2 linked regions of the Cricetulus griseus genome follow. The protein of the gene in region 1 purifies or fractionates together with the protein of each later gene. This does not show direct contact. Links are inferred from orthologs where the notes say so. Each region holds a gene or a part of one and is shown on either strand. Other genes may lie near its edges. The genes, in order: Nufip1 and Znhit6.

Evidence for each region.
Region 2: the proteins of Nufip1 (region 1) and Znhit6 purify together in Homo sapiens (affinity purification with western blotting; 3 studies listed by BioGRID and IntAct, with this or other methods). This does not show direct contact. The link is inferred for Cricetulus griseus from reciprocal best matches to the Homo sapiens genes NUFIP1 and ZNHIT6.

Annotation. Positions count from the first base shown.
Region 1 is NW_023276807.1:230,509,826-230,513,635, forward strand, and holds part of Nufip1 (nuclear fragile X mental retardation-interacting protein 1), read left to right. Parts: intron 1-432; coding exon 433-531; intron 532-1,236; coding exon 1,237-1,299; intron 1,300-2,090; coding exon 2,091-2,167; intron 2,168-3,810. UniProt on the Homo sapiens protein: Binds RNA.
Region 2 is NW_023276806.1:13,622,425-13,626,915, reverse strand, and holds the start of Znhit6 (box C/D snoRNA protein 1), read left to right. Parts: upstream 1-1,534; 5' UTR 1,535-1,634; coding exon 1,635-2,092; intron 2,093-3,040; coding exon 3,041-3,106; intron 3,107-3,188; coding exon 3,189-3,295; intron 3,296-3,380; coding exon 3,381-3,466; intron 3,467-4,491. UniProt on the Homo sapiens protein: Required for box C/D snoRNAs accumulation involved in snoRNA processing, snoRNA transport to the nucleolus and ribosome biogenesis.

The sequences.
Region 1 (3,810 bases):
AATATTACATAGGTACAGTATATCTATTAACAGTCCATTTAACATTAACAGTAACATAACTTAAAAAATGGAGATTATTTCCTTTATCAGTATTCTAGTATAGTCTCCTTTGAGAGACTCTTTTTTTCTTACTTTTTTTTTTTTTTTTCTTAACCTATTTACCTTAAATAAGTGCTTTTAGATCTTGGCAGATGCTATACCAAATCCTCATTGGGTCTCTAACTTGAAGTCTTATAGTTTGAATTAGCTCCTTTTAGATTTAAATTTTGTTTCTCGTGTCTGACTTTTGCTATATTGCTAACAAATAAAAGAATCCCTCACCCCAGAGTATGTTTTAAATCAAGTATGTATTCCTGGAATAAGTTGTGTTTGGTTGAGCAGAGATTTTTTTGTACCACAGTCTTACTGCTTTTTTTTGTTGTTTGTTTGCAGAAAAGAAAGGAACCGGTTTTCCACTTTTTCTGTGATACCTGTGATCGTGGCTTTAAAAATCAAGAAAAATATGACATACATATGTCTGAACATACAAAAGTAGGTTCCTGGTTGTTCTGAACCAATGTAGTAAAGGCCTCTTATTTGTATTTTTGGTGAAAGTGCCAAATTTATTTTCCTCATAAGTTTGTAGTTTTTACAGAAAGAAATGTTTGATAACTTGACACATAGGGACAGGGCCTGGGATTTGGAGTTTGGGGGTGGGGAGCCCACTGCTGCATGGAGAGGAGGAGCTGTGGCAGCCTCTGTGTCTGTGCCCCTCCATGGCTACATGAGAGGAGAGCTGGGCCTCCCCTGCAATCACCTTGAGTGCCTCTGAGCACTTTCCCTCTTCTACTGTCTTGATCTACAGCTCACTGTGTGATTTGTCTTAGTGTGCTGTTCTCTAAATATAACCCAGATGATTTAAAAATGTTAAGCCATTTAGAACGTTTGAAAGTTTGTTTTTTAAGGAAAACTCTTGTTTTGGAAACATCGTTTGCAGGAATGCCTCCCCTTTAGGAATTAGGAATGTTCCACTCAATGAAAGAGGAAATGGGAGTGACTGTGCTGCTCATCTCAAAGATGCCATTTCCTTCTAAGTGCAGCTGTTTCAGAGGGATCTGTGTTTTGCTGTTGGACTAAGAATGAAGGAGTGATAGCACAGAATAATCACTGGCCGACCATAGTGTGTAGATCCCTGGTGGTGTGAACCATTAAATCATGGCCATCATTAAAGTGTCTTTTTGTTGTTAAACTTTTCAGTGCCCTGAAGCCGATTGCTCTTTCAGTGCACACGAGAAGATTGTCCAGTTTCACTGGAAAAATGTAAGTTCTTAATGACTTTTGACCTGTTGTAAATGTGTTCTCTGTGTATGCCAATAGTAATATTCATGCAGTGTTTTGTACTTTGTAAGGAAGTTTTACATCTCTTACTCTATTTTAGTCTTAAACCATGCAAAATAGATAGCTATTAGGTCCTCCTACAGATCGAGAAGAATGACTTACCTACCCAGACCTGATTGTTGCAGTTGCAAGTTTTATGTTGGTTTGACCATGCCATGCTTCTTAAAATGACTGTGGCTGGGTGCTGACAAGATGGCTCAGCAGTTAAGAGCTTGCTCTGTTCCTCCAGAGGACTCAAGTTCAGTTCCCAGCACCCACACTGGACAGCATACAACTGCCTGTAACTCAGGCTTCGGGGATTCAGTGTCCTGGTATCTGAGGGCACTTTCATGCATACATGCACATAGAGACACACACACATGACACATGCATGCACAAACCAAAATAAACAAAAGACTTGTGAAAAAATGATCATGTCTACTAATTTTTTAATCTGTCACCTTCAGTTTTGCTTGATTAGTTGGTCACGGGAATTTAATGTCAATTGAGAAAATGGGTTATGCATCTATGTAATAAAACCTATGCTGCTTTCTCCCATAATTAGCATTGATCCAGCTACATGAGAAGCTTTTCCTTTGAGGGATAAGGCATAGTGAGAATGCTTGTTAGCTTAAAATATTTTCTGCTTGTAAGTTTCATGTTGGATACAATGTCGCATTTAGTTAAGAGCACACACTATGCTTCCTGATGTTCAGCAGGCTTTCTGCCCTTAGATGCATGCTCCTGGTATGAGGAAGATCAAGCTAGACACTCCAGAAGAGATTGCAAGGTGGAGGGAAGAAAGAAGAAAGTGAGTAAAGAGCTGCTAACTAATCAGTAACTTCCTTTGTCTGTGGCAAGACTAATGGCTGGCCAGCCGGTCCTGCTGAATATGAGAAGAGAAATGTGGTCTTTTATAGCGTTGTAGACATTTTCACTGAAAGTGACCCGGCTTGATTTTGTGTTCTTCAATAGTGGTACATTATAACTGAGAATAGTGTTAGTTGATGGTTTAAAAATCAGCATCTTTATTATATAGTGAAGTCCATCGAATTATTTCATAATGCTAACATGAAGAAAGAGAACTGTAACCTACATTATATTAGGCTATTGGGTATGGTTTGGGGGAGAGTTACAGGAACTTTGCATTTAAATAACAGATGTACCGTAACTATACGAACCCCGAAGAGTGCTAACATGCCACTTACTAGATATTCAGTGGCTGGGGGAATAATGAGCTTGTAATAATATTTAAATGTATAATACATTGTCATGTTTATATTTATTTATTTATTATTTGTTTAAACGCACGGCTGAATGACTGTTCTCTGCTAGGTAGAGTGGGTTTAGCAGTGAACAAGATGTCCATGTACGTGTCCTTACCTGTAAAAAATCCAGGAATTCATCCCTGTAATTAATGTTTAAGAGATGTGAGTGAGTCTTTACTGTGTTTCTTGTGGCTTTACATATATTAGCAGAGTTGATGTCTGGCTACAATGTACTTGTGAAAAATCTGCCTGGAACTCCATGTTACTGTCTTCTCACGTATTTGATCCTGTAGCAGAAGACTGAGGTAGAATTATTAGAATGATAAGGTGCACTTTGACAATCATTTAGTTTGTTTTCTGTTGCTTTGATAAAATACCCAGAAGCAACTTAGTGAAGAAAGTTCAGTGTGGCTTATGGGTCCAGAGAGTTAGAATCTATAATGGCAGGAATGACATGGCAGTGGGCAGCTGCAGCAGGAAGCCAGCTGATCACATTTTGTTGGTAAACCAGGAGACAGCTAAAATCAGGCAAGACTTAGCAACTCTGAAAGTCAGCTACCAGAGACGTACATCCTTCAACGTAAATGCTCCATAACCGTGAATCTCTGTAACCTCTTCAAACAACGCTGCACAAGTGTACATAGTTGAGTCTTAGGGGGACATTTTCAATCAAACCACCACAGTACTTTTTTCCTAGAATTAACAAGAAGGAAAGTCAGATATGGAAAAAAAAACAAGAGGTTATCTGTTTTGATTTATTTATTTATTTATTTATTTATTTATTTATTTATTTGAGATAGGGTTTCTCTGTGTAGCCCTGGCTGTCCTGGAACTCACTTTGTAGACCAGGCTGGCTTACATAGATCATCATGCCTCTGCTTCCCAAGTGCTGGGATTAAAGGTGTACACCACCATTGCCTGGCTTTAAATTTTTTCTTTATTTTGTAGCATTGGGTTTGAAATTAAGGCCTTGCTTATACTAGACAAGTATTCTGCCACTGTGCTACAATCCCTAGCTGTCTTTAATTAATTTTTTAAAATTATTATTTGTCTATTTTACTGGTATGTGTGTCTGTGCACCACATGTACTCAGTGTCTGAGGAGGCCAGAGAAGGCATTGGATCCCCTAGAACTGGACTTACTCATGGTTGTAAGCAACTTTGTATTTGCTGGGAATGGAACCTGG
Region 2 (4,491 bases), on another chromosome or scaffold:
TGATACGGCATCAGCCTAGCTGTCTGACAGTAGATTAATAAAGAAAACATGGTATATACATACAGTATTATTCTGCCAATAATTAGAACAAAATTATGTTATTTGTAGGGTTATGGATGAAACTTGTGTGAATAACCCCAGTGTACTCACTAAGTTGGACTTCCCTGGAATCCTTACTTTGGTCTGTAGTTGGTCCCTCCCTGGGGCGAGTAGACATTTGCTCCCGTCTTCCCCAGAAATAGTGTCACACAACAGCATGTCCCAGTTCTTTACGGTCATTGGCCAGTGTGTCAATGATAGCACATGATAGCACAAGCTGGGTGACTTAAACAAAGATTGTTTTCATTTTCTCGAAATTCAAGAAGTTACTGAAGTCCAAGGCCAAGGGTTCAGAGGTTTCTCTTTTAGGCTACCTGGATTGGCAAACAGAAGGCTTATTTCTCGCCACACTCCAGGACTCCTTCTCTGTGAGCAAATTTGTATGCAAATTTCTTATTAAATGCGCCAGTCAGCTTGGATTCGGGCGCATTCTAATGACTTCATTTAAACCAGTGTGCTTTTAGGGGCCTTGTCTCCAAAATAAGGTCAGAATTGTGAGGTCCTGGGAGTTAAGGGCTTGAGCGCATGGATTTGAGGGGCTATTACTAGCCTGTGACCGGCGATTTCAGCTGCTGGCAGTAGTATGTGATCCCACGCATGGTTTCATGAAATCCTCGCGGGAGCAGATACGAGCATCTCTCTCCCCTCTCTCTCTCCTTTCCTTCCCTTCCCCCCACTTCCCGCGTGTTGTTTTTGAAACAGGGCCTCACTATGCAGCCCTGACTGTGCCAGCATTTACTCTGTAGACCGGGCTGGCCTTTAAGACACAGCGATCCCCCTGCCTCTGCCTCCCGCGTGCCGGGATTAAAGGCGGTTTCCCTTTTGTTTGTTTGGTTGGTTGGTGGTCGGTTCTTAAGACAGGGTTTCTCTGTGTAGTTTTGGAGCCAATCCTGGCACTCGCTCTGGAGACCAGGCTGGCCTCGAGCTCACAGCGATCCCCCTGCCTCTGCCTCCCGCGTGCCGGGATGGAAGGCGTGGCGGCCACCGCCCGAGCATAAAAGCGTCGTCTGGCGGCTGGCGTCTCCGTGACGAGAGCCAGGCCGCGGCCTGAGGCTGGCGGGCCCTCCGGCTGCAGACCCCGCTCTGCAGAAGCATCAGCGTGCAATTCCGCCTTGGGTGCAGCCACGGGCTCGCAGCGCAGCGGCGTCGCTGTGCGCCGGGGCCGGGCTCCCCCGCACCGGGACTGCACTGAAGGGTGGCGGGTGCGGAGGGAGGGCCGCGAACCGCTGCTGTCGCCCGGCTCCCTGGTCGGAGTCAGCCCTCAGCACACGGGAGAGCGGGTGCCCTCGTTGCAGACCGTCACTCGGAAGCCCGGGCGTGCTCGCTACGCAAAGCGGCTGAGCCGTAAAGAGCTCCGCGAGTCGTGAAGAGCCGCGGCCGGGGAGGGCTGCTTTACGGCGTGCGTGCGTGCGTGCGTGCGTGCGTGCGGGCGGGCGGGCGGAGCTCGGGGTCGCGCACGTGTGGCGCCGCCGGGGACCCCTGTGGCCGGCGGCGGGCGAGCGCCACGGTGAAGCGCGGCCTCGGCGTGCGAGCCGATGGAGCCTGCCGCGGGGGCGGAGGCGGCGAGCGCGGAGGAGGCGAAGGTGGACCTGGCGGTGGTGAAGCAGGAGGCGGGGGCCGAGGGCGGCCCGGCGCGCTGCCCCTGGGCGGTGAAGCCGGAGGCGGCGGGCGAGCCCCGCGTGAAGCTTGAGGAGGCGGGCGAGCCGCTGGTGAAGGAAGAGGCGGCGGGCGAGCCCGACGTGAAGGAGGAGAAGGTGAAGGTGAAGGAGGAGGTTCCGGACTGGGAAGAAGTGAAGGAGGAGGAGGAGGAGGGCGTGGACGTCAAACGGGAGCTGTTGGGGGGTCAGGACGTGAAGGAGGAGCAGCTGGTGGAGGCGGTGCGCGTCAAAGAAGAGGGCTCCCTCAAGACGGAAGGCTCGGATGGCCCGCGGGTGAAGGGGGAGCCTCGCATGAGCCCCCGAGGGGGCTGCAAGAGGAAGCTGGCCATGTCAAGGTAGGGCAGGGCCGGGCGCACACCCACCTGGAACCCAGAGCGTTGAGTGGACCCCGCCACCCAGCAGCAGGCGGTGAAGAGCACCAGTTAAACCAGGCACCAAGGGGGAGCCCCAAGTCTGAATGGTGGTGTTCGCTAGCACATTCTGGGACACTGCAGTGGCGGTGACCGACACGGTGTGGTCAGCTCAGGGGGCGTAAATCTGGGGACTGGAGACGTTTGTGGAACCAGAGCTTGTTAGCTGTGAAGCGATTGTGCAGGACTTGTGCCTATTGGAGAAACTAGGAATCAGGGGACATCTAATAAAAACCAACAATGAGAAAGTGAGTGGAGTTTAATAGACAGCCAGTCAGCTTGCTCTTGAACCTTTTCACGGCCCCCACGAATGTTTATTCCTGGATGTAGTTTCTTTAGTGTGCTCATGTGGTCCCACAGATCAAACTGTGAAGATTCTACCCCTGACAGCTTGGGCTGTCTGTTAAGAACAGACGAGTAACGCCATTTCTGGGTTTTCTCGGTGTCCTTTTGCAAAGGGAGGGCATACATTACGATGAAGTTTACCTGGGCCTCATCCTGTCTTGTTTTGCTTGTGTGTATGCTTTTAAAAATGTCCAGATGCAGCTTCTAGATACACACACAAAAATATCTCTGAATTGCAAATTTCAAAAATCACCGGTTCATGTTAATTTCTAATTACAGTAGAAAAGAAATCAAACAGACTATTTTTCATATATATTTTCTCGAATTGCCTTTCATTGTGTCATTTGCAAACATTTTCACAGTTTTCAATGACAGCTATAAAAGAATTGATCAGAGTCGCTGACATATGCTTTATTTGCTTTGACTACGTGCCTGTAAACTGTAAATAGGCTTGATTCAGCATTCAAAGGCTGTAAGTTCATGAGTAGAGTCAATTTTTGAGTATTAAGTCACAGGTGAATTTTACAGGTGTGAAACTTGTGGGACAGAAGAGGCAAAGTACAGATGTCCACGCTGCATGAGATATTCCTGCAGGTAGATATGTAACTTTCTACCTTATTCCTGACCTCTTCCCACTTACTTCAGATATAAAACTGCCTTCTGTTTGTCTCTGCAGTTTGCCCTGCGTAAAGAAGCACAAAGCAGAACTGACTTGTAATGGAGTCCGAGATAAAACCGCTTACATCTCACTACAGCAGTTTACGGAGATGAATCTCCTAAGTGGTAAGTCATTCTATGCACAACAGGTGACTGCTTTCTGGCCACTGGCATATGTCACTTGTTAATTTTTCCTTTCTGAAATTACTAGACTATCGGTTTTTGGAAGACGTGGCAAGAACTGCAGACCAGGTTTCAAGAGATACTTTCTTGAAAAGACCAAAGCGCAAAAAATACGTAAGGATTTCTTCTGATCTTTTCAAGTTAAAATTGCTTCCAATGTTTATTCATTTCTTGGATCTATCAAGTGGCCACCCTGACCTGGGACTGTACTGATTATTCAAGATAGATCCAAAGTTTACCCTGCGGAGTTTGTATTGTTAGTTAAGTGGAAGAGGCCGGATGTAGAAACAGCAAATATAATTTCTTACAGATTCAAGTGCATGTAGAAAATTGGGATGGGTCAAAAGAGTAAAGAAAACAAAGTAGTCTGTGAGGTCGTAAACTTCGGGGTATGATTGTCAACACAGTGGTAGAGATGAGCATCTCTGAGGACCAGTTAGACGTTGATCTTAATGGTGTGAAAGAGAGTAGGAGTCATTTGGAGGAAAACTCTTCTGGGTAGAGACCTGGACAGAAGTGGCACAAGCCTGTGACCCAGCACTTGGAGGAAGACATAGCAAGACTTTGACTCAAAAAGATGCAGGCTGAGAACTGGTGTGTATGTTTGGAGATTACAAGAGGCAGGATAACTGAAGCATAGTGAATGGGTAGGGATGCTAAATGGAGTTTAGGAAAAGTTGTAGAGTTCCCAAGCATGCTAAGTAAAGGGACCAAGGGAGACTGTGTGGTGCTGCCTTTAATACCCTCAGAAAGTCAAGAGGCAGGAGAGACTCTTGAGACAGGCCATGCAGGGCCCGGTATATGAGCCTTTTTTGTTTGTTTCCAGAGAGGATTTCTCTGTGTAGCTTTTGGAGTCTGTCCTAGAATGCTCTGGAGACCAGGCTGGCCTCAAACTCAGAGAGATCCACCTGCCTCTGCCTCCCAGTGCTGGGATTAAAGGCGTGCGCCACCACCGCCTGGCTAAAATAATTTTTTTTTAAAGGATGACTTGCTGCTTGGTTGGGGTCAGGGAACCACAGTGGAAGACTGAAGCATGAAGAACAGTTTCAGGAGTGTGTGTCAACGTGTGAGAGGTGGTGGTGGCTTGGGTATGCTGTTAGAAATAACTGGAAAGTAGTGTGATTCCAGTTTTGACAAAA